Cricetulus griseus: one gene and its partners. The protein of the gene in region 3 purifies or fractionates together with the protein of the main gene of each other region. This does not show direct contact. Links are inferred from orthologs where the notes say so. Each region holds a gene or a part of one and is shown on either strand. Other genes may lie near its edges.

Region 1 (6,551 bases), on a different chromosome or scaffold from region 3:
TCTGGAATGGCTCTGTGCCTCACTTGAACCGTCCAATAGAAATGACTCTGTACTTCGCCTCATTTGAATAACACTGTGTAGCGCCTCATTTACATTGACCAATGGGAAAATCTCTGTACTGCGCCTCATTTGAATTATCCAATAGAATCCCTGCTTCTCGCGTGCACTTTTTGCTATATAAGGACCCCTCTCCCTTGGCTCGGCGCGCTTGGCCTCACAGAAGCTAAGTCGCCCCAGGTACCCGTGTCTCCAATAAAGCCTCTTGCAGTTTGCATCCAAGTTCGTGGTCTCACTGATTCCTGGGTACGGGTCTCCTTCTATGAAAGTACCTCCACAGGGGTCTTTCAGGCCAACCAGTACTTTATTTATCATCCAGTAAGACAAACACATACACAGAAGCACTTTCCCCATCATCTCCTCTTTTCTGTCTAAATAAAAAGAAGGATAACTTATCTTTTATAATAACTGAAGAAAACTATAACCATAACTATCTGTCTTTAACTCTATCAAAGACCACAGAAGGATAATATATAAACTCTAGAATTGACAGAGACATCTGGCTACCTGAAGAGTCACCCAAAGTTCCTCTGTAACATTGGGGCATCCATCTTCAGTCCATAGGCCATAGTATGTCTGGCACACTTCTCCATTTCAACAGGAACCTTTCAGTACTGTCTTATTTTGTAAGTTCAGCAGTCACTTTCTTGTGGGTCCTGTATGTCCAGTTTATACAGTGACAAACAGTCCAGGCAAGAGCAGTTTCTTGCTCAAATGGCTAATCTTGCCATGTTGAAAGCAAACTCCATAACAAGTTTCTTCAATGCCCATCCTCCTTTCTGATGTAATTGGTGTGCCAGGAGCAGTTGTGTCTCACTGTCAAGAAAACCCTAAACCATTTAAATGCCATATTTTCTGTAGGTCTTTGAAAAGTTTGAAGAATACCTATCCATCTTAAATACATCTCTGTATATCTGAAAGACCTAACTAACCTAATTATAAGTTCTGACTATCATAGGTGACTATATAACCTGTATTTAATTATGCATATCATTTTAAAAGATCTGTATAAACACAATACCTAAACAAGAGGCGACATATACATATCACAAAATTGACCTTAAAGTGTCAATCAATGAAAATCCATACCAATGCAAAGTGTTCATTCCTATGTCCTACTCCCCTTTTTTTCCTTTAAAAAGAGATTGACTATGCTCATTACTATTTGTAACCAACCCCATTTAAATGTAAACAAACATTTATAAACAATATTTGGGAATTTGGGCGTCGTTCATTCCAAACTGCTTCCTGCTGATTGGGGGCGATGTCCGTATCATGGGGATCATGATAAAACATAGAAACCTGACCAAGTCCTTGTTTTTGTAGTCCATTAGGTTGCATCATCTCAGCTGCTTTGGATGTAGGATCAGTTGGGTCACTGCTTCAGGGAGTCTTGACCTATGCTTGATCAAACCATATTAGTCTGGAAGGAATCCACAGCTTTTCATTTTCTGTGGAGACACAAGCAAAAACTTTTTTCCCAAGTAGCCTGTCCTTAGACTTAAATTTTTAAGTCAAAGCATTTTTAAAATGTATAAGTTGGATTAATTTAGCAGCACTTATAATCAAATGTATTTTAGCAGCAGTAACTCTTTCCTCGGTAATCAAACAATTTAAAGACAACAATATAGCATATAGTATCTAGACTCTCTGTGTATTCCATCTTTAGGTGGCTTTTCTATTATTCTGTTTTTACTTTCTTTTGTTTCTTTTTTTTTCTGAGACAGGGTTTCTCTGTGGAAATCCGATTGCCTCTCCCTTTGGAGTCCTGGGATTAAAGGTGTCTGCCACCACACCCAACTACTCTATTTTCTCCTGTTATTTTTTCTCTCACAAGCCTACAGATATTTTTAAATGTAGTGTAAACCTTTAGATGTTTTTCTTTATCTGGATCTGTCTTTATCATCTTGGGAGTGCCGAGTCCAACCTCCATGAACTCCATGATGGCGCGAGCATATGCCTCTCAGCAGCCCAAAAGGGCCGGCTGTGGCAGCAGGTTTTCCTCTTCCTCTGGGAACCTTGGGGCATGGGGTCATCCCGCTCACTGACACCATTCTGTTACCATAAATCTTTCTGCTAAAAGCCACTGCAGCCCTACTGCCACGTGGGTGCTTTACACCAGCCACCCGAGTCTGCCCGACAAGTTAGGGCCCCAAATAATACACAGACACTTATATTAGGTACAAATATGCTTGGCCAAAGACTAGGATTTCTCATCTGTTAGCTCAGTCTTAATTATCACAAATCTATATATTTTATAAGACTTATCTTATAGAGGATGCCTTTCACTGGCGCCCTCTCTTGCTGGTGGATCACATGGTGACTCCAGAGCAAAGACCAGGAAGAAGAGAGAGGGGTGGCCCACTTCCTTCTTGCCCTTGTTCACATATGAGTCTCCCTGCTATGTCACTTCCTGCCTGGATCACCACTTCTTTACTACATTTCCCAGAATCCTCCTTGACTCCTAGTCCTGCCTAACTTGCTGCCTCATTGGCCAAACAGTACTTTATTTATCATCCAGTAAGACAAACACATACACAGAAGCACTTCCCCCATCACCGGATATCATTCATCTGGATTTTCTTTATTCCCCTCATTGATTTTATCATGCATGTATGTATTTTTAATATGTTTTGTTGTGGCTAGCTTAACATTAAATAGAACCATACAACATTAGTCTCTCTTATTTTTGATATATTTTAATTAAAATGTAATTGTATCATTTCCTCCTTCCCTTTCCTCCTAACCCCTCCCATTTTCTTCCTGTCTTCCTTTCAAATTTATAGCCTCTTTTTCTTTGATTATGGCTTCCATATATATATATATATATATATATATATATATATATATATATACATATGTGTGTGTGTACAATTATGTACATACAACTTGTTGAGTCTGTTTTTGTTGTTTGTGTGTAACTGTATTGGTGTGTTGCGTGTAAATGATTTCAGAACTGACTACTTTGTATTGGATGCTCAGTTAGGGGCCTCACCCTAAGTGAGGTTAATTTTTCCATCTCAGAAGTCATTGGAACCTATAGTTCTTTGTCTAGGGGAGGGGCTCCATGAGAGTTTCCGTTTCTGCATTGAGAATGTCTGTTGATATTCCCACTGTATGGTCTGGTTTAGACAGCGTTTCTATGAGACATCAACTTATTTTTTAAAGTTAACTTTTACTTATATGTGCATTCACATGCTCTACTGCTCACATGTGGAGGTCAGACGTGACTCGAAGGAATTGGTTCTTTCTACCACATGGGAACTGGAGAGTAAATTCATAGTCAGCCTCGTGGTGAGAGCCTTTTCCCACTAAGCCATCTTACAGGCCTGCTCATTCACTTCTTCAGTTTGTCTTTATTGCACCAATTATCATCATTACCATTATTATTTTTACTTGGGCTGGAGAGATGGCTCAGTGCCTAAGAGAATTGGTTGCTCTTCCAAAGGACTTGGGTTTGATTCCCAGCACCCACACAGAGGCTCACAACTGTCTGTAATGGCAGTTTCAGGGAATCTGAACTTTCAGCCATGCCTCTCTCCCCCAGGCACTAAGTATTCAGGTTAGGTATAAAGACATGCATGCACACAAAGCACTCATAGATATAAAATAGTAGTAAAATAGTTTTAAAGAGAAAAACACTATTTTGCTATTTATCCATAGTGATACAACTGGAGTTCCCTAGTGTCCAATATTAAATAGTATTCGTTTATGTGAATGTGGCACACTCATTCATTATTCTCCTGCTGATGAACAATTGGGCCATTGTTTTTGTTTTTCCTGGTAGAGACACCACTGCAAGCTGGTGTTCAGTGGTGCAGCACTTGCATGGCATGCACAAGGCCCTGAAGGAGAGGAGCAGTAGCCTTTCACTGAACATTCATGCAGTGGTGTTCCACTTAGAAATGTCTTAGAGACCCATCACCTGTGCAGCCCTAAATATGCACACCACCAAACTTACTAGACAATACCAAACTGTCTCCAAAGTGGTCGTGCCTTATACTTCTCTCAGCAGTGTGCATGAATCACAAATTTTTTTTAAAAAAGCATATTACCGGACATTTGTCATGTTAATGTAGTGATCCGATCATCTCTGTGCCTGCTGTTATAGACTGGGCTTGAACGCTCATCACGGCCTGTGCCTTGTGGTTTCACTCCATTAACAAGTTAGCAGCTAAGAGTTGGTATCATTGGTTTCCATTCTTGCATAGCCCTTCTGGGAAAGCAGTGATGGCTGTAAAGCCATTTTGGCAGGCTTGGAACGTTGGGCTATGACACTGCACACACTACACACCACGTGGGGCAAAATGTCCAGCCTGGAAAAGCAGATTCTCGTTTTCATCAAGTCAGAGTTAATACAGTAAAAAGAAGAAAGACAAGCCGCTGTAAAAAGAAAAAGCAGAAGTATAACCCTTGCCCCTGTCTCTTTCTCTGGGGAAATAAGAAGCTGCCAGACCAGGTGCTGAGTGGAGTTGGTGGAGGGGAAAGTTGGGGGGGCCAACGGAGGAGATTTTACAATCATTCAGAAGGAACAAGAGGCTGTTGTCATCCCACTGGCCAGACCCTCCCGACCCTTGATGACATCATACATGTTTTCCTCATGTTTCTTTCCACTAAGCACTGTGGGAGCAGAGGGGCCCGGAACTAGAGCTCCTTGAGAATATACTGCAAGAAAACCAAGCAACCTGATTAGGGAGAACCAACAGCTACAGAAATCTAGCTCTGGCATTTATCTCATGCTGATCTACTCTAGGGCAGCAGAAGGATCCCCACCCTTCATCAGTCCTGAATCGTCAGCTCCCAAACATCCTGAGGGATGGGAGATTCAGACATCATGCATGAATGTGAACAGTCAAGGAACCTGGAGGCGAGAAGACTTCCGTTTGAACAAAGAACCAGGAGGGAAGAAATCCATTCTTGCTCTCCGTCTCTCTGTATGGTCCTCCTTCCCTCTCTCTCTTCAGTCAGGCCTTGAGGCTGTAATGGAAGAGAACTGAAAGCCTCCAACTTTGTCCCCCTGTGCATTCGTTAGACAGGTTGATGGTCCTTTGATTATGTGAGGAACATAAACCTCCTTCACAAAGGACATACCGGGTGGCAGGAGTAGGGGTGCCCAGGTACGACAGGAAGAAAGAGCACTCCCTCTGCTTTTCTCACCCTTGACCTTAGACTGCCTTCGGCTCCTTAACTCACAGATAAGTCAGAGGCTTGCAGAGTAGGCAGAGGAATGGGTAGGTGTCTTGAGGAGGGCAGAAGAGCTGTCTGGATGGGGTCAGCAGGTGCAGGTGTGGGAATCACTGTCCTTGGGATGACCCAAATCTGATGTATTACCTGGGTCTGATGAGAGGACAAGGTGAGCAGAGTCCAAAATCAGGAGGGGACAAAGACAAAGACACGGAGGGGAGTTAGGAGGCATCTGCCTGATGTCATGTGTTAGGAAATCACTGGGCTTGTTCTCAGCTGATTTTGAGCATATCCTGGTTTTATTTGAAAGCATTAAGCTTTCAGCAAGGCAACTCCTGACTCCACACAGTGTATAATGGAGATCATTTTTCCTTCTGGAATCGCCTATCTCTACCCCTAAGTGACACGGACCTTCGCAAGGAATTAACGGTCCCATTTTAAATACAGCTTGAGAAGAAGAGACCCCACATCTCTGAGTAAATGACCACTGCCATGACCTTGCCACCCAGATGTATGAGGAAGGAGCATTATGAACAGTCCACTTCATATCTTAGGTCTCTGAGCAGAGGAGGCTAACCCATGCCCTCATGCAAACGAGCAGAAAGCCCCCAAGAGTCATCCAGGTGTAATTGACTGTTAGCTTTTCCTTGTACATGGCAAGTTGCAGGTGACCCTGGCCATCTGCTGAAAACAGGGACTAACTACCTAAGGTTTGGGACAAACAGGAAGGCGTGTCCAGCCAGAAGCTTATTCCAACCTGGCAACAAACCTGGTCATAAAAGAGAGCTGCTGGAAAGAGATTTGCATGCCCAATAAGGTTTCACTACTGAAGTTTACACAACGCACAGTAATCTGCCAAGCAGGCTGACTCCCTGGATCACATGATCTCGTAGAAACATGAAACTTGACGATGCGCTCCAGCGAGTTTTACTTCCCCTGTGCAGGGGTGTTTGCCAGCAGCCTGCGGTTGCTCTCAGAAGTCAGTTCCAGTGGCTTGAGCCCTTGAGCCCAAAGCCTTACCATGCAGCTCCCTAGGAAGGCCAGGAGCTGCTGATATCCCCTTGGAGAGCGACCCACATCTCCTCTCAAGAAAAATGGACAAGCTGAATAAGATAACTGTCCCTGCCAGCCAGAAGCTGAGGTAAGTTTCCCTTCAGATCCTTAGCCCTGTTCCTTCCCCACTAGTGCTCCTACTGTTTTCGGAGGCACCAATACCCTAGAGTACTCCACCAGTTCCGAGGAAATGACTGTTCCCCAATGCCTATGGGGAAGCAGACCGCATTTTTTAAGAAATATGTAGGAACCAGTGG
Region 2 (6,434 bases), on a different chromosome or scaffold from region 3:
TTTTATTTTGGTTTTTCAAGACAGGGTTTCTCTGTGTAGCTTTGGAGCCTATCCTGGCACTCACTCTGGCGTGTTCGAGGCTGACCTCAAACTCACAGAGATCTGCCTGCCTCTGCCTCTCAAGTGCTGGGATTAAAAGTGTGCGCCAACGCCCAGTGCTAACTTTTTTTTAAAGATGTATTTATTTATTATATATACAGTGTTACAGTGTTCTGCCTGCCTGCATGCATGCCTTCACTACACGCCAGAAGAGGGCACCAGATCTCATTATAGATGGTTGTGAGCCACCATGTGGTTGCTGGGAATTGAACTCAGGACCTCAGGAAGAGCAGCCAGTGCTCTTAACCTCTGAGCCATCTCTCCAGCCCCTTTACCTAACTTTTTTACATGGGCCCTGGGGATTTGAACTCAGGTCCTCTTGCTTTTACAAGAAGTGCTCTTACCCACTGAGCCATTCCTCAGACCAAACCTATTATTTTTAATCTCCTTTTGTACTCCAGGCTGTTTTAGAACTTGCTGTGGTAGTCCAGACTGGCCTTAATTTGTCATCCAACTACCTCTGCCTCCTGAGGACTGTGATTAAGGGCATACCCCACCACACTGAGATGTGAATACAGTAAATGATCTGAGGACCAAAAGATCTGAGATCATGAGCCAAAAGTAATCTCCTTCCTTAGGATCTATTTTGTCACCATGAAAAAAGTCTAGACAATACAGCAGACCATTTCTCCAACACACCATTTCCTCTGACACATGGGAAGTATTGTTATCCGATTAAATAAGTAACTGTGGTGGTGGTAGTAGTAGTAGTGGTGGTGGTAGTGTTTGTCCTAGAAGCTGTCCTTATACCTCCAGTGCTCTACCTCAGTTAGGGAAAGCTCAGAAACAGAAACAGAAAGCCAGCTGCAATGTCCTGTAGGGAGCCCCACCCATGCTTGTCAGATGCCCTGTCAATAACAGGTCTGAGAACTAGTTACTGGACAGCCTGGGGTACTAGATGATCACCTGGCAGTCAAGGTGGAGTGTTCACTCCTGGGAGCCAAAAGTTCCAAAGTGGGCATTTGCTTTTTTCTGAGGGTATTGCTGAATCCCAGAGATTAAAAACAACCAGGCATGGCCCCTAGCATCAGCAAGCACACAGGGTGATGAGCACTATGACACCAGGAGACTCTGGGTAACAGAGGGGCCTGGTGAGGGAGTACCTACACCTTACTTCCTTCCGTTTTGCACAGTGATTTCAGGGTCAGGGAGTGAATACAGTGAACATGCTCTGAGGGAATGTGGATGAGCTGGCAGACTGCCCAGGTATGGAGTACTTGGCTTTTTCCTTCCCCATCAGCCCATAGATGCCACTGTGCACACTCACCTGTTTCTACATCATTGGCATTGGCAGAATCCCTCAGCCTCTTCAGAGCTATAAAGAGAAAAGTGACAGTTAAACAAAATCGTAACAAAACCATAAGGCACATCGCTTCCCAGTGTTCCCTGATATTCCACCCTTCCGTCACAGCAGCACAGAAAGGCAAAGGTATCGGGACAGAAACCACTAGTCTGGGAACAAGGAGAAACTGGAACTGGGCCACAGTTGGAAGAGAGACCAATTTCTGTAGAAAATTGACTTCTGGAGCCAGATCTAATTTCTGCCACTTGTCGTAGTTGGCGACCTTGAGCAAGCCAGTTACTTACCCTGGGCCCCAGCCCATCATCCGTACAACAAGGCTGACTTGTTCTGCCAGCTCTTAAGTTGTTACAAAGAAAATTGAGATAATTTTTTAAAAGAGAAAGACTGAGCAGGTTTAGTCCTTTGTGAGCTAATTGCATTCAACATTTTATTATTCTGCTTCAAAGCAGGTCATTCCTAAATGACTTACCAAACTCAGTAATTCCTAAGCAGAAACTTCCCTCTTCTCACTGATGCCACTTCTACCTTAGAACTAACAGAAAGCAATACCTTTGTTGTCAAGAGAATGGTCAAAACAACTGCAAACTAGATATAACAATTGCATATATCCATATGCCACATTTTTGTTTATACAGTCCTTTGAAATTCTCTTTTAATCTTTCTTGAGACAGGGTTTCTCTGTGTAGCCCTGGCTGTCCTGGAACTCACTCTGTAGACCAGGCTGGTCTTGAACTCACAGAGATCCACCTGCCTCTACCTCCTGAGTGCTGGTATTAAAGGCGTGCGCCACCACTGCCAGGCCCTCCTTTGATCTTTATAACACTAAGACACCAGGTGAAATGGTGCTAGTCTGAAAAGAGACCTTAAAAATTTCCAATTTATTAATCTTTCTGTATCCCATTTTCCTTTTCACCCACAAACTGCAGAAACAATATAGCAGATGGGGTTGGAATACTGGCATAGCCTTCTTCTATATGACTTGAAATCAGAATGTCCAAATGGGCTGGAGAGATGGCTCAGAGGTTGAGAGCACTGGCTGCTCTTCCAGAGGTCCTGAGTTCAATTCCCAGCAATCACATGGTGGCTCACAACCATCTATAATGAGATCTGGATCCCTCTTCTGGCACACAGGCATATATGTAGGCAGAACACTGTATACAAGATAAATAAATCTTTAAAAAAAAAAAAAAAAGCCGGGCGTTGGTGGCGCACGCCTTTAATCCCAGCACTTGGGAGGCAGAGTTCGAGACCAGCTCTGGTCTACAAGAGCTAGTTCCAGGACAGCCTCCAAAGCCACAGAGAAACCCTGTCTCGAAAAAACCAAAAAAAAAAAATGTCCAAATGGTAATAACTGACTCAGTGGGAAAAGAGGCTAGCTACAAAGCCTGATCTACTGAGTGTAATCACCAAGATTTACAGTGAACCTGGAACTTGATACTTAGCCCAGACTAGCCCTGAACTCAGAGTCCTGCTTCTGCCTCCTCAGGATTACAGGAGTACTACCACACCTGGCACACCTGGCTGTTTTTCTTTCTTTTCTTTTTTCCTTTTTTTTTTTTTTTTTTTTTTGGTTTATCCAGACAGGGTTTCTCTGTGTAGCTTTGTAGACCGGGCTGGCCTCTAACTCACAAGACATCCTCTTGCCTCTGCCTCCTGAGTGCTGGGACTAAAGGCTTATGCCACCACCACCAGGCTCTGGCTGTTTCACTTGTTTACAAGTCACTTCTTATGGGCCACAATGTATCCCTTGGAATGACTATAAAAGGTTGTGTATCAAAAGTGCTTGGTCCATCACAAAGATAGATCAGAACCTTGCCTAAGTCTTCACACCCAAGGAAAGCTGGTAGTGTACCCATTCTACAAATAGGAAAGCGAGGTCACACGTGAGTCTGTGTGGAGCAGTCTGGTTCAGATCTGTGCATCACACAAGTTGGTACAGCGTGGCCACAGCTCTGGGTTCCCTTCTCTAATAATAAAAATATTCTCCATTGTCTCACATTATTGTCTACTAACAACCACTCTCGAGAGTGGAAAGTTTTTATTCAGGGATGTCCAAGTGGCCGAAGTCACGGTCCTCAACAGCTTTAACTGCTGCGATCATTCACGAGCGACCCTAGGATCCCGGGTTGAGCTCACCGTGCACCTCCTTGCCAGTGGGCCCGAGCCTGCGGTGGGGCCTAGCGGCGCGCCTCAGCCGCCCGGCGGGGATCTTGCAGCGCAGTTCATCGCGGGGCTCGGCGTCCTGCTGCCACAGGACCTGCAGGTAGCGCAGCGGGGACTGGGCCCTGCCGGCTGCCCGGCCCGGGAGGCCTGCGCCGCCGCCCAGCGCAGCGCCTAGGTCCGCGAAGGAGAACAGGCCTCCGGCTTCCGCCAGCGGCTCCGGCGCCACCGCGCACTCGCCGTCGGAGCTCGAGCGGCCGGATCGGGACTCGTCATCCGCGACCCCGCCGGTGGCTGCCATGGCAACGGCTAGGCGCGGGCCTGGCAGCGCCAGCCTCGTTCCGGACCGACCAACGGACCCGCTTCCCTCTAGGAGAAGCCTCGCTGTCAGAGAGCGAGCGGGCGGGGCCTGCAACCACGGCAACAGAGTGCAGGCAAGCCGGGCTGTGTAGAGCGTCAGACCAATCAGAGATCGCGGAACCTGCACAACACAGCCAATCAGGCAAGGAAGGCAGAGTATAACGAGAACACTGGTTTACGGCAGTTTGTCTGGCGGGTACATAAGCCAATCATAAGTTGGGATTGCTCCGCACTAAGCGGTGTTGCTACAGGAGCCAATAAAAAAGCAGAGTTCAGTCTACTTTCCCCCACCCTCTTCTGCCAGTTCTTCCTATCGTAGATCCGGAAGGACGGCAGGCAAATACTTTGGCCAATCACCATAAGATGCTCTCCAGCCAATCGGAAAGGAAAATGAAGAAACCAAACTACTCTGATGTGTGTTTTGAATCAATGAACACAGGCACACAGAAAGAGGTTTTCCACAAAACGTACAATGATTTGAAGATCACCACGAAGCAGGTGGTAATATCTTCTAATGTAATAGATTTATCTTTGTCAGGGTTCTCTTTCCTTCACAGGGATCATTGATTTAACAAAGAATTTTACCTTATGTTATTATACAAGAGTGACCCTTCCGTAGACAAATTAGCTCAGGGCTATTTTTCAGCCTTGAAAGTCCTACCAAACACGGGCCTGAACCTGATACAAGGGGCCTGCAAGTACACACACACACACACACACACACACACACACACACACACACACACGTCATTTGCATTTGGTCAATTCATAAAAAAATAGAAAACACTTGAAAGATCAAGTAAATAAATGCCTGTATCATTGTCTTGTGGGACTCCAAGGACATGGGTTCTAGTTTTGTTCTACTCCATATTTGTAATTTGGGGGCAACTTCTTGGAGCCGGTCTTTTCACCAGGAATTTTTCTAGGTTGGATATGAATACCAGGTGCTCAGGCTAGATCCAACAAGTTGCCTTGTCTTTCCATCTTTCTTTGCCTCGACTGGTTGGCCTTTAAAGAATATTAGAGAAATTTGTACTGGTTGTCAGCATTTACAATTTGACTGCTGATGGGGCTGGAGAGATGAGTCGGAGGACCTGGATTCGATTCCCAGCACCCACATGGCAGTTCCAGAGTAATCTCTCACCCTCACACAGACATACTCTCATGTGAAATACCAGTGCACATAAAAATAAATACACCTTTAAAAAATTAGTGCTGGAGAGATGACTCGGAGGTCTTCCAGAGGTCCTGCGTTCAGTACCTAGCATGGCGGCTCACAGCCATCTGTAAGGAGATCTGGTGCCCCTTTCTGGCCCACAGGCATACATGCAGATAGAACATTATATACATAAATAAATAAGTAAATCTTGAAAGAAGGGTTTAAGAAATTCAAATCTGAGCCAGCAAGATCGACAATGGTTCTCAACCTGTAGGTCTCACATGACCCTTTCACAGAAATAGCCTAAGACCATTTGTTTATCAGATATTTATACCATCTGCATATCATATATTTACATTATGATTCATAACAGCAGCAAATTACAGTTATGAAGTAGTAATAATGTTTGGGGTTACTACAACATGAGAAACTGTATTAAGGGGTTGCTGCAGTAGGAAGTTCCAGAACCACTGGTTCAGCAGGTGAGAACTCTTGTTGAAATAGGCTGACAACCTGAGTTAGATCCCAAATCTTGTGGTGGATGTTCTTTAGCCTCCACACTCACTCCATGGCATGGACACACCCACTGTCTCTCCCTTTCTCCCTTCCCCTCCCTCCTTCCCTCACCCACACTCTCACACACAAATAATAAAATTTTAAAATAACACTTGGCAGCAGGGCGGTGGTGGCATGTCAGGAGGCAGAGGAAGGCAGATCTCTCATTTCGAGTCCAGCCTGGTCCACAGTGAGTTCCAGGACAGCCAAGGCTACACAGAGAAACCCTGTCTCGAAAAATCAAAACAAACAAACAAACAAGCAAAACCAATAAATAAAATAACACTTGGCAGCCAGTTCCCATTGGTGGCAAACGCCTTTAATCCCCCCACTCCTGAGATCTTGTGCCTTCTGCTGGCATGCAGGCAGAAGACTGTATACATAATAAAAAAGGGGGGATTTATTCGGACTCAGGAGGCAGAGGCAGGTAAGATCTCTGTGAGGCCAGCCTGGTCTACAGAATGAGTTCCAGGACAGCCTGAGCTACACAGAGAAACATTGTCTTGAAAGAAAACAAAAAGATTTGCAGATGCATGGATTATGAAAGGGAAGAAAGGGTGGCTGTGGAGGTTTTGACATGAGCAACAGTGCAGAACATTATGTCCTTGAGCTCATAGATAAGCACCGGGGAAACCAGGAATGTTAAACACACAGGTTTATCTCTTCAAGGGATGTGCATACCTGTTTACCTCCCAGAAGGCTGGGACTAGATGTGGTTAATAACCTGGTGACCTTTGCTCCCTGAAAGGCCAGGTTTGAATCCCCCAGAATGTTTTCCCAGACTTCTCCCTCCTTAGA
Region 3 (5,093 bases):
AAATTTATACACACACAATCTCATTACTTCAGAGCTTGGAATGAAGGTGGCTATCAAGTATACTTCACAGAATTCCTACAAGCAGGAATAACGTTTAGCTAGCTTCCAAATGCACTTTCTGTCATCACAAAGCTAACTAGACAAAGGACTTAACTTTGCAAAGGCCTGGATTGGACCCTGAGCAAGCAGGGGCTTTTGTTAGGTTGACTTTTAAGATTACGGCTCTTTTGGAGATCCATGGTCAGATGAAACACTGGAAAGTAGACCAGGCTAGCCTCAAACTCACAGAGACCCACTTGCTTCTGTCTCCCAAGCGCTGAGATTAAAGGCATGTGCCACTACACGTGGTTAAGATTTGGTCTTTTCTTTTTTCTTTCTTTCTTTCTTTTTTTTTTTTTTGGTTTTTTGAGACAGGGTTTCTCTGTGGCTTTGGAGGGTATCCTGGAACTAGCTCTTATAGACCAGGGTGGTCTCGAACTCATAGAGATCTGCCTGCCTCTAGATTTGGTCTTTTTTGAAAGGAAATTTTTTTTTTAGTTTTTTGTTGTTTGTTTTGTGATAGGATGGCACTCTATATCTCAGCCTACTGTGGAAGGCAACATGTAGCTTGTGCTAGCCTGAAACTCATGGCAAACCCTCCAGCCTTAGATTCCTGAGTGTTGGAACCACATAGGCCTAGTTGTCCTGATGTATTTGATAATTCAGGAAGGATTCATAGCAGAGTGGCCTCAATCCATCAGAACTAAAGGGTCATCAATTTCTTAGTATTCAAATCAGTGGTTTTCAAACTAGATAAGTATCAGACGTTCTAAGAAACATGAAAGGATTTCTGAGTTCCATAGCAGATATACCTATCCAGAATCTCTAGAAAAGAAGCCCTGTAATTTATATTTTTGAAAATGCCTTAGGAGGCTGGACATGGTAGCACATGTCTTTAATCCTGATACTTGAGAAGAGACAGGTGAATCTCTGTAAGTTTGAGGCTGGTCTGGTCTACATAGTGAGCTCCAGGACAGCCGAGAATATGTAAAGAGACTCTATCTCAAAATAATAGTAGTAATAATAAAATCCTTATGAGTAGGGTATAGTAGTGCATGCTTGTGACCTCAGCACTTGGGTGGTAGAAGTAAGAGAACCAGAAGTTGAAAGTCAACCTTGTCTACATAATCAGTCTGAGGCCAGCCAGACAATTCAAGACCCTGTCTCAAACAAATGCCTGCACCACACACCTGGCTTATGAGGTGCTAGGGACCAAACCAAGGCTTCATTCATGGTAGGTAAACACTCTACCAGTTGAGCCACATTCTCCAGCCCCGGAAAAGCATTTTTAGAATAGTGAAACATGATCCTTATTTCTACAATACTAAAAATTCACCCTCTTAAAATCTGTATTATATTTTTTAATGAGCTAGAAAATTACACAGTATTTAAAGCACTGACTGCTCTTCCATTGGACCCAGGTTTGATTCCCAGAATGTACATGGTGGCTCACAACTGTCCATAACTCCAGGTCCAGGGGACCTGATACCCTCTTCTGGCTTCTATGGGTGTATCAGGCACAATCATGGTGCATAGGCATACATATAAGTAGAACACCCATATACGTAAAATAATTTAAAATATTTTAGAATCAAAACCCCAAAACCAAAGCAGACAGACAAAAACTACTTCAGGTCCCTTCTAAGCAACAGAGTTTTTAAAATCTCATTTAGAACCTCAACCAGAAAAGATCAGCAGCTGGGCTGGAGAGATGGCTCAGAGGTTAAGAGCACTCACTGCTCTTCCAGGGGTCCTGAGTTCAATTCCCAGCAACCACATGGTAGCTCACAACCATCTGTAATGAGATCTGGTGCCCTCTTCTGGCCTGCAGGCATACATGCAGACAGAACATTGTATACAAAATAAATAAATAAATCTTAAAAAAAAAAAGAAAAGATTGGCAGCTAGTAAAGTGGAAGAGATTGCATCTTCTAGAGCAGGAAGACTGAGGTGGTTATTTACTATTATTTGTGTAAGTGCTTCCCTAACAAATACCTGTTTATCATTTATCTTGGATCTTTAGGACCCATTTAAACCCCACCTTCAATTGGTGCCCACATGGGTTCAGTCCCATGATTAGCCTGCACGGCCGGTCGACCACGGCTCCCATGACCCCAATGACCAGGAGCCAGGCCCGCCAGCCTCCCTGTGTTGACTCAGTCAGATGAGCCAGCCCCTCCTCTTCCTCATAAGGGATCACATCTCCACCTGGAGCCATACCCCTAGGATGTGGCCACCACTGCAAGTTCACTGGCAAAGCAAGATGTCACTACAAGAAGGATCAAAACTCCTAGGTGAGTCCCAGATAATGATTACAGATATTATAACGCCCATATCTTATCTGAGTGCCTTTGATAGATAGTATGGTCCCACAAACTCCTCACACTTAGAGCTGATATAGGCATTAGGGTCTAGTCTGCTAATGATACTCTATCGAGGATGAGGGTGGCAATGGAAATGCCATCAGAGGATTGGGATGCAGGCCAGAGTGAGAAAGTATGTGCAGCTATAAGTCTGTGCCCAGCTAACAGGTGACCACAGAGAGAGGGGACTGCCTGGCAAATGAGATATTAAGGAAATGCAAAGGAATAATTTCTGAGAGAACACTCCAACACTTACCTCATGCCAGCAGCTGTACATGATGGTATATACCCTCTCTGATGCTAGATGAGGCCTATAGAGACGTAAGCCTTGAGCAATGTGTTCTGCCGTCTCACTGTTAGTAAATCTCTCATATGGCATCTTCCCAAGGGAGTAAATTTCCCACATTAAAACCCCTAGAAGATACAAAAGAGAAGCGTACTCAGTCTTTTTGGACTACTTGGGGCCTAATCCTTCTGGCTGAACCTTAAAGATTAAAATAAGTTTACCCTCCGTGAATTTTGCATTTTGCTCAGACATCTGCCATGGTCCGGGCTACACTAGTGGTGGCCAACAGAGTCACACTAAGCTTGACCATTAGCTAGTCTAGAAGAGAGGCCGTGTCTTGTTTGTCTTGGTAGCTTCAGGGTCTGGCAGAGTGCCTAGTACATAATCAGTATTCAGAAGCCATTGAATAATGAATGGTTTGTTTCCCAGGATATATTGTAAGTTCTAAGAAAACACGGATTATGTCCAGTTTGCTGTGGTTGTCCTCAGAAGCCCCTGTGGTTCCTGACATCCTGACACATAAGAAGCATCCAAGGATCAGATGAACAATAACAGGAATGTAAATGTCAATTGTCCTGTTATGTTCTATGTTCTTCTTTGAGCTGTATAATCTATATTCTCTCCCCCTCACCAGTGCGTGTATCTGTGTGTGTGTGTGTGTGTGTGTGTGTGTGTGTGTGTGTGTGTGTGTGTGTGCATGTGTGCTCATGTACACCACAGCATACAGTGGAGGTCAGATAACAACCTTGAGTGTTGATCCACACCTTCCACTTGTTAGGTGTCTCTTGCTGTTTTTCTGGTAGATTCTACAGGCTATCTGGTCCATGAGTTCCTTGTCATTCTCTGGTGTTTGCCTCCTATCTGCTGGCAGAGGCATAGTGAGATTCCAGATGCCTCTATTCACTACTGTTACCCAGCTTTTATCTGGGTTATGGGGATCTGAACTTAGGTTGTAAGGCTTGCATGAGAAGTGGTTTGGTTTACCCACTGAACATCTCCACATCCTAACCTGTATGTTTGTGTCTACTTACCAAAAGCCCAAATGTCAGATTTGCTGCTGAACTTGCTATACATGAGCACTTCTGGTGGAGACCACCGGACTGGGAATTTGGAGCCTACCGAGCTGGTGTATTCATCATCCAGGACATACCTGCAAAGAATTCAAGACTTGTTGCTATTACACTTTAGACAGCTTGATATGTTCCTGAGTCTTCTCAGCACACCCATGAAGGCTGCACAGATACACATTTACATTCTTTCCCAAAAGTTTCTGCAGGTCAGCCAGTGCATTCTACAAATGTAATTTTTAACAAAACCTTGGTTACAATTTCTTTTTCTTTTTTTAAAAAAAGTATTTATTTGCCTTCTATGTGTTTGAATATAGCATTGTATATGGCAGGCTAGTACCCTACTAGTGATATTCACTTCTGGTCCTTTTTGCACTTTAAAAAAAAAATGAGACAGTGTCTCACTAAATTACCCAAGATGGCCTTGAACTTTTCTGAGACAGGTTTCTCTGTGTACCCTGGCTGTCCTGGAACTCACTCTGTAGACCAGGCTGGCCCTGAACTCACAGAGATCCGCCTACCTCTGCCTCCCAAGTGCTGAGAATAAACGTGTGTGCCACTACCACCCAGCAAATTGTGAGCTACAGGTGGAAGCTGGGTTTGAACCCAGGTCCCCTGGAAGAGCAGCCAGTGATCTTAACCACTGAACCATCTCTCCAGCCCCTTGAACTTTCAATCATGACACTGCTTGAGCTTCCAGAGTCACTGGGATTACAGGCCTGTACCTTCAGGCTCAGGTTCCATATTGATTTCTGATTTAGCTTTCCTGATACACAATATGGTTACAATAAGAATAAACAGAGGAATAAAACTAACAAGGACTTCTTTCTTCTTCTCTACTCCACCTTTTTTCTCTGCATTTCTTCTTCCCCATTTCTTTCATTCTGCAGTAGCCAATAAGGGTTAGACCAAGAAAGGAAGAATGGAAGAAAGTCAGCAGGTTTCATATCAAGATAAGATATTGAGGAAATAGGAGAAGGATGAAGAGGGGGAGGAAGGGTGCAGAGGAAAAAGAGGAAAGGAGAAGAGGGTTACAACAATGAAGGAATGGATGAACCTGGCATGGTGGCTCATGCCTGGAATCCCAGGATTCCAGAGGTTGAGTCTGTTGTGGGCACAAAGGTCCTTGTACCCATAGATCACTAGGGAAAACAGGGATGTCAAACACACAGAAGCCTCTTCTCCAATGGAGGAGATAAAATACTTGCTTCCTGCCTGGAAAGCTGGGAATGGATTTTGTTAATCTGGTGACCTTTTTGCTATCTGTGGAGGCAGACCTCACCCACCTTTTGCTATAGAAGAAGACCTCATCCAAATCCCCCAGAAGGATTATCCCAG

What was found.
Region 1: the proteins of Btk (region 3) and Blnk purify together in Homo sapiens (affinity purification with western blotting; 5 studies listed by BioGRID and IntAct, with this or other methods). This does not show direct contact. The link is inferred for Cricetulus griseus from reciprocal best matches to the Homo sapiens genes BTK and BLNK.
Region 2: the proteins of Btk (region 3) and Ankrd54 purify together in Homo sapiens (affinity purification with mass spectrometry; 4 studies listed by BioGRID and IntAct, counting the BioPlex papers as one, with this or other methods). This does not show direct contact. The link is inferred for Cricetulus griseus from reciprocal best matches to the Homo sapiens genes BTK and ANKRD54.

The regions. Positions count from the first base shown.
Region 1 is NC_048596.1:20,564,726-20,571,276, forward strand, and holds the start of Blnk (B-cell linker protein), read left to right. Parts: upstream 1-2,589; 5' UTR 2,590-2,670; intron 2,671-4,810; 5' UTR 4,811-6,335; coding exon 6,336-6,382; intron 6,383-6,551. UniProt on the Homo sapiens protein: Functions as a central linker protein, downstream of the B-cell receptor (BCR), bridging the SYK kinase to a multitude of signaling pathways and regulating biological outcomes of B-cell function and development.
Region 2 is NC_048595.1:376,176,346-376,182,779, forward strand, and holds the start of Ankrd54 (ankyrin repeat domain-containing protein 54), read right to left. Parts: upstream 3,963-6,434; 5' UTR 3,864-3,962; coding exon 3,539-3,863; intron 1,415-3,538; coding exon 1,367-1,414; intron 1-1,366. UniProt on the Homo sapiens protein: Plays an important role in regulating intracellular signaling events associated with erythroid terminal differentiation.
Region 3 is NC_048604.1:45,557,486-45,562,578, reverse strand, and holds part of Btk (tyrosine-protein kinase BTK), read right to left. Parts: intron 3,839-5,093; coding exon 3,720-3,838; intron 2,817-3,719; coding exon 2,659-2,816; intron 1-2,658. UniProt on the Homo sapiens protein: Non-receptor tyrosine kinase indispensable for B lymphocyte development, differentiation and signaling. Binding of antigen to the B-cell antigen receptor (BCR) triggers signaling that ultimately leads to B-cell activation.